Xenopus tropicalis: one gene and its partner. Each later gene encodes a partner of the first gene's protein in a complex. Links are inferred from orthologs where the notes say so. Each region holds a gene or a part of one and is shown in the gene's direction. Other genes may lie near its edges. The genes, in order: plekhm1 and map1lc3c.

Evidence for each region.
Region 2: the proteins of plekhm1 (region 1) and map1lc3c are in contact, whole or in part, in a crystal structure (PDB 5DPW), measured with the Homo sapiens proteins. The link is inferred for Xenopus tropicalis from reciprocal best matches to the Homo sapiens genes PLEKHM1 and MAP1LC3C. Residues at the interface, in NP_055613.1 of Homo sapiens: Glu632, Asp633, Glu634, Trp635, Val636, Asn637, Val638, Gln639, Tyr640; in NP_001004343.1 of Homo sapiens: Phe13, Arg16, Lys17, Glu25, Ile29, Phe33, Lys36, Pro38, Asp54, Lys55, Thr56, Lys57, Phe58, Leu59, Val60, Pro61, Glu63, Leu64, Ile72, Arg76, Phe114.

What each region holds. Positions count from the first base shown.
Region 1 is NC_030686.2:37,773,575-37,777,406, forward strand, and holds part of plekhm1 (pleckstrin homology domain-containing family M member 1), read left to right. Parts: coding exon 1-868; intron 869-1,042; coding exon 1,043-1,188; intron 1,189-1,734; coding exon 1,735-1,928; intron 1,929-3,361; coding exon 3,362-3,425; intron 3,426-3,571; coding exon 3,572-3,729; intron 3,730-3,832. UniProt on the Homo sapiens protein: Acts as a multivalent adapter protein that regulates Rab7-dependent and HOPS complex-dependent fusion events in the endolysosomal system and couples autophagic and the endocytic trafficking pathways.
Region 2 is NC_030681.2:57,421,422-57,424,483, reverse strand, and holds the end of map1lc3c (microtubule-associated proteins 1A/1B light chain 3C), read left to right. Parts: intron 1-1,182; coding exon 1,183-1,342; 3' UTR 1,343-2,309; downstream 2,310-3,062.

The sequences.
Region 1 (3,832 bases):
GGTCTCCTAATGATGGGAGACCTCGAGAGAAGAGCCTTGGGGATGTATAAAAGCTTTTACTGCGAGCTGACTCCCATAGAGTTTCGCATGTTCCTGAAAGGAGAGGACCGAGTCTGTTTGGAGAATTGCACCCTGATACGATGCGAATCTGTTGGCCCAGTGCAGAGTGATGGCCGCTTTGATTTAAATTTTCCAGCGAAAAGGTTCCATTTGCGAGCCCCCTCAAGGGATGAGGCTCAAGACTGGGTTGACAGGATACGGGAAGCCTTACAAAAATGCCGCCCTCAGAAGGATGACACGTGGGAAGTTTTACAGTTCCCAGACCCTCCCAAAACAGGCCAGGAAAGCCCGCTCCTGTCTCCTCAAAGGAGCCCATCATCTCCTGTTGGAAGCATAAAGACTGAGTCATTTGATTGGGTCTGTCCATTGAAATTGGAGCCTGATGCATTAAAAGAGTCTGTGTTGTACATGAAGATGGATAAAAAATGGACGCGCTGCATTTTCTCCTTAACAGAAAGGGAGCTGAGGTGTTACTTAGCCAAGAACTCTGAGAAAGTTTTACACAACATATTTGGTATTGAGATGGTGAGAGACATTCTGCCTGATGCCAGTCTCGGAAGCCCATCCTGCTTCAAACTGGTCACGTCCAAAGGTTCTCTGCAACTGCAGGCTGAGAGCTCTAGCGAGGCCAAACACTGGAGGGAGATGGTGCGAGATGTTTACTTGGAACTGGCAGATGAGCTGGCATTACTGGCGGGCACTGCTAGCTTCCCGATAAAGTCCCACATCCGGGGGCATGCACTGTTTCAGTACTTGTTGTACATTCCCTCTGAGAAAGGCTTAGACTCCCAGAACTTTAAATGTGCAGGTCAGAGAAGCCTCTTTTATGGTTGGCAATCAAATTGTACCCTTCTACATGTGGTCCTACTGCACGTAGGACTTGTAGTTCAACTATGCCTAGAGGGCTACAGTTTGCCCAGCCCTGTTTGATGCACTTAGTACATTTGCTACACAGATTAACTTGCAATTCTTTCCTTTTCAGCTTGCCACAAACAGATTGGTTTTCAGTTTGGAAAGGCCAAACATTGCGCTTATTCAGCACTTTACTACTGTGAGTGGTGCCATCAGGATGAGGGCTCCGTCATTCCTTCAAGAATGGTGCACAACTGGGACCTCACAGAGCAAGCCGTGAGTAGGACAGTCTTTTCATGAAAAGGAATTATATGCTCATCCGAAGATTTCAATGAAACAGTGGCTTCTACTTGTCACAATGGCTTATGCTGAACATTGTAATACTAAGAGGTCTGTAAATCTCTTAAATAGACTGGGGGCCATAAAAATCGCTTTGAGAGCCTCATCTGGAGTCAGGGCCTTCGGGTGGACAGCCTTGTAGTATATAAATATATACATAAAAAAAAAATTACTGTCAACCTTTGTATAAATAGGTTCACATACTCATTAGGTCACAAAATGAGCGGATCTTTACCTGAAGTGCTGAGCCACATCTTTTGACCCCCTAGCCAACAGTTGGGTTTATAATGAGGGCCTGAATTTATGTCTGCAAGTAGCGGAATCTAGTATTCAAGATTTTTGGGGGGAGGAGAGAAAACTTTTAATTGTAAGCATTAGAAAATAAAAGGTGTTTATCAGTGGGCAGTGTACACATATCTTGCTTTGGTTACAGACATCCTTTTTTGCCTCCGTACGAACACATTGCCTTTTTTGTTCCACCAGGTATCGAGACCAGCATTAAAATTCCTCAATATGGTGCTCAATGAACCAATCATAAATGTGCCGTCTGTCAATAGCGGCCTGTATCAGCACTCGCACACTATGCACAATATCAGCCACAGCCGAGAGAAACTGAGGCTCCTGGCAGAATACCTGCAGACCTGTCGTAGTGGAGCATTTCAGGAACTAAGCAAGAGGTGGGTAGCGGGAAGCCCAGCCTAAAGGACAAACTGCAGTCAGGTAGAGAGACATCTTGATGTCTGTCTTAGATATTTTCCATGCTACAGCTGTAGTTTTCATGTATTTATAACTCTGTTAATGAGTAAAGGGGGCCTTGGCCAGTGATGGACCATAAGGGGCCATTTGACAACCCGGAAAGACTGAAAGCCACTGATCAGTGGGTTCCAAACGCAAAAGGTTGGTAGATCTGATTTTCTTGGAGTTTACTGGAGAGTGATCCATGAAAATCTAGTTGGTTTTTGACACTTATTTATCTCAGTAAAATATTGAGCCACAAGCATGAAGGACATTGTTGTTTTACCATGCTTGCAGACCGTGCCATTGAACAACTTATTTAATGATTTCCTTACTAGAAAAAGTCAATATATACCTCCGAAACAAGGGAACAAGAGGGAGTTAACATTGTTTGTGCTCTATGCTTTGTGCCTATGTAACGAATGATAGCTAAGGAAAGTTATCATCTCTGGTAAGCAGGCAGACACAAGGTTGCCTACCCAACCTTTATTTGGCTGAAAATCGGCCATATGTCAGTCGGGCAGGTTTAATATATACCTCATCGGCTCATTAATGTGGTCCTTGCTCTGACAGCTCATATTCCTGATAGGGATGCACTGAATCCAGGATTCAGTTTAGGATCCGGGCAAGATTCAACCTTTTTCAGCAGAATTCGGATTCAGCCAAATCCATGCCTCTGGCCGTACAGAAGCCACATTTTTAAAATCATGTGATTTTTTTGTCACATAAATTAGGATTCACATTCGGTTCGGTATTCAGCTGTATCTTGTACAAATAATTCGGGGTTTGCGTAATTTACAACATAGTGGATTCGGTGCATCCCTAATTCCTGTCATAGTAATGTGAGAGCCACTCAGATAAGCCTGATATCGCCCTCCTTAGGTAAAACACTCCTTTAAGCATTAGCAGAGTTAAAAAAAAAAAGCAGTTACTGCTCCAAAATGTAATCAGATTGCCACCTAGTGGAGTAATGGGATAGGCCTGCTGTTCCCAATACATTATCGCAAGCCTGCTTTGGTTTTAACGATTTCAAAGGGGCATCAGACATTGGAGTGAAGGGCTGGATTTGATGAGTGAAGGGCTGGATTTGATGAGTGAAGGTTTTTTCACCCTCGGCTACTATGTTAAATGTATATTATGACTTCCCCCCAATCCCCATAACTTAGGAATCTTTGAAACAAACATAAATCTCAATAAATTCTGATAACTATCTATATGTCATATTTACGGTCTTACGTATAATCACATGCACTGGTTACTTTTAGCTCTTCTGTTGCTAATATGTTACATAGTTAGTTACATAGGGTTGAAACAGTGCCCGTTATGGATCCAATGTGTCCTTTTTTAATAAATATTTTCTTATTCTTTTGTTCAGCCTGGATAACCGCACCTACCTACTGGATTGTGCACACACCTATAGTGTCCAGGATTTCAGGCAGGTATGGCAGCTTTCATTATCTAATTAAGATAAAGTGCTCAAATAGGGGAACTAGACACTTTATTTCCTGTAAAACAAAACAGGCCAGCTTCAGTTTCTTTCACATTTCATTACTGTTGATCCACGTTACCCCATTACCTGTTGTAGATTGCCAACGGGGAATTCGAACTGTTTCTGGGAGCCGCTGTGGATTTGGCCACCAAGCATGTGTATGATTGTGATCTTTGCAGCCAAAAAGGTTTTATCTGCCAAATCTGCAACCAGGATGAGATCATTTACCCCTTCCAGTTTGAAACGACCACCAGGTAAGGGAGACACTTAGCCATGAAGTGGTTTCAATATGTTGCCACTCTATTAGACCAATCAATGGAAACGCCAAACAATATAATAGCATTTAGGGGAATGCTG
Region 2 (3,062 bases), on another chromosome or scaffold:
AAAAATGCCACATTTGTGACCTGAGTTTGGGAAAGAGAAGCTGTGAAAGAGAAAAATGTGAGATTGCTAGAAAGCAACAAGTGTGGATCCAGTTTTGGCGGCGAATATGAAAAGTGGTAACCTAACTGAAGGGAACTGTTATTATAAAAAAACTCCTACTGAGAATTGGAACTGACGTGTGACAAGTAAAATTGTGATATTTATGATTGTACTGGTGTGACAAGAGTTAATAAAGTATTTGGGGATAGACAACAGCTCCCTGCACCTTTACTGGAGGAACTGTGACATAGGAAAGGACTCTTGGTGAGAGGAAGGCAAGTTGTTTTATTACTATGCTAACCAACTTGCACTTCTCCCATGCTCTCAGCATATCACGGTGATTACAGTACTGATTAATTGGCCTTCCAACCACTCAGTAAGTATTCTTTCTCTGCTTTGCCAAACCCGGCAAATCCACTACCATTCAGAATAAAATATGAACTAATAACCCTCACAATTAAAGCACTCCATAACTCTGCCCCACTTTACATCTCTGAACTCCTCTCCAGATACTTGCCAAACCATTTGCTATGCTGCTGTAATGACCTGCTCCTGATAACCTCTCTCATTACTTCCTCGCACCCTTGCATTCAATACTTTTGCAAGAGCTGTACCCCTTCTCTGGAATTCTCTACCATATTTTGTTGAATCTCTGTCTCTGAAAGATTTCTTGAAGGACAAGGAAAGGTTAAACAAAAAAAAAAAAAAAAAGTATAGCCATGGCATGTAGATATACTATGAAGGATTTCTCTTTAGGAGTTATTCAGAATGATTATTCACTTTTAAAATAAGTTAAAAGATGCTGTGGAAAGTTTATCTTCTGTACCAGAAATGAGCTGATTCAGGGTACATGCATGCACATTTAATCTCTCAGAAGCTATGGGCAGGTGCAGAAATGTATATTATTTTCCTATTCTATTCAGGGTGTCCTAATGCCTCCTGCTTTTAGAATGTAAGCTCCTTTGGGCAGGGCCCTCTTTACCCTTCATATTTGCTTTTGTATGTTAAATATAAACACCCATTTATTATACAGAATGTGAAGGCATTTTATAACATAACCACTATATTACTGTTACCATACTACTAATGATTCTTATTGGGTACAGAAAAAAATCTTTAAATGTGTGTTTTTTCTTTGTGCAGGAATCGCATGAACTTATCTGCTACACAAGCATTTTACCTTCTTGTGAATAACAAGAGCCTTGCCAGCATGTCACTTACGATGGCTGAGCTTTATAGGGACCATAAGGATGAAGATGGTTTCCTATATATGACATATGCATCTCAAGAGATGTTTGGTTGAATGCATATCACAAAAAAACGAGGACAATCTTTGTACTAAGAGGGGCCCAGATATGTACATGTGTAAATTCTAGACCCTAGTATTATATTATTATTTAAATTTACACCTTAAACATTTTTGGTCATTATTATAACATGGGCTGGAACTTAGAAGTATATGGCTATAGTGTACAATACTTTTTATTGAAATGTTTTCACTTAAAGGAACCTTTTATGTATGTTAAATATTTATTGAGCATCCTTTTAGAAAAGTCAAAAGATAATGCTTTTGTAAATTTATTGTAATAAAGGATTTAAAATATTTTATTTTTACAGAATTTTTTTGCAGATTCTATGTAGTACTAAACACAACTGTTTTCTCTAACTTAGAACAATTTTGTTTTTAGATAGACTTCCCCTTCACATGAAATAGTATTTGGGGTTATTGTGTATAACAGACTTTGCTCTGCACAGTATAAGTCAGTAGCTGCAGAAGCATAAAGTACTCTCTGCATAGAAAGGGCATTGACGGAATGCTTTTGCCTCTATATATTTCTTGTAAGACCTGGGCTTGGGTATGTATTGCAGCTTTGGGTACCACATCAAAATGTATATGTATTAATAACATGCAGCTAAAATTAATGGGCACGTGCTATTAGCAGAGAAGAGTTTGTTTTCTGTGGGGAAGAAGAATTTCTAAGAAGACACTTTTTTTAACACTGAAAAGAAAAAAAGAAGCCATCCCTTCTTTCACCTGAAGCAGTACAAATGGTTATTCACTGTTAGGACAGGGTGGGCTGTAAGGTTCCTAGGTTCTTTCTGGCTGTTTTTTTGTTTTTTTTTTTACTTCTGTATTTCCAATGTGCAATAGTGTATTTGTGTTTATGAAAAAACTCTGGCCAATCAAGAGGTTTTTGTTTTACATATATCACAAGAGGTTACTGCACAAAATCAGTCAGCCTAATGCTAAATAAAATCTCTTCATAAAATAACTACTGCCTTAATTTAACTGTGGAGGGTGTCAAAAATAGTTATTGTTAATTTACTGATTTGCCTATTTACCAATTAATCCAACACCTGGATATACTGCCTGATTATGTATGTATGTATGTGGGATAGCTTGGTTTGTATTGGCTATAAACAGGAACAGATCATAGTTAAATCTGGTTGAAAAAAAAACCCAAGTTCAAATCTTTCCATCGAACCCCAGCGCGCACACCTATACTGACCTATCTATACACTTGCATACATAAACTACAGTATATATACCAACATTAATACTAATTGCACATTTTAGTTTCCCAATAGCCTTGGATATTTTTGTTCAAGAACTCACCCAAGCCCTCCTTAAAAGCATTAAAAGAATCTGCCATCACATCACTAGGAAGGGCATTTCACAACCTCACCGTGAAAAACCACCTACGCTGCTTCAAATGGAAGTTCCGTTCCTCTAATATAAAGGGGTGATCTCTGGTGCACTGGTCCTTTTTATAGGAAAAAAGAACATCCCCTATCTGTCTATAATCCCCTCAAAAGTACAGTACTTGTACAGAGTAATCATGACCCCTTGCAAGCGCCTCTCTTCCAGAGAAAACAACCCCAACCCTGACACTCTAACCTTATAGTTGAAATCTTCCATCCCCTTCACCAGTTTAGTTACACATCTCACAGAGCTACCACTGGCCGGGGCCAGTGTAGTGGGGTTGGAGAATGGGACAGTGGAGGCTAATGAAGGAGACAAG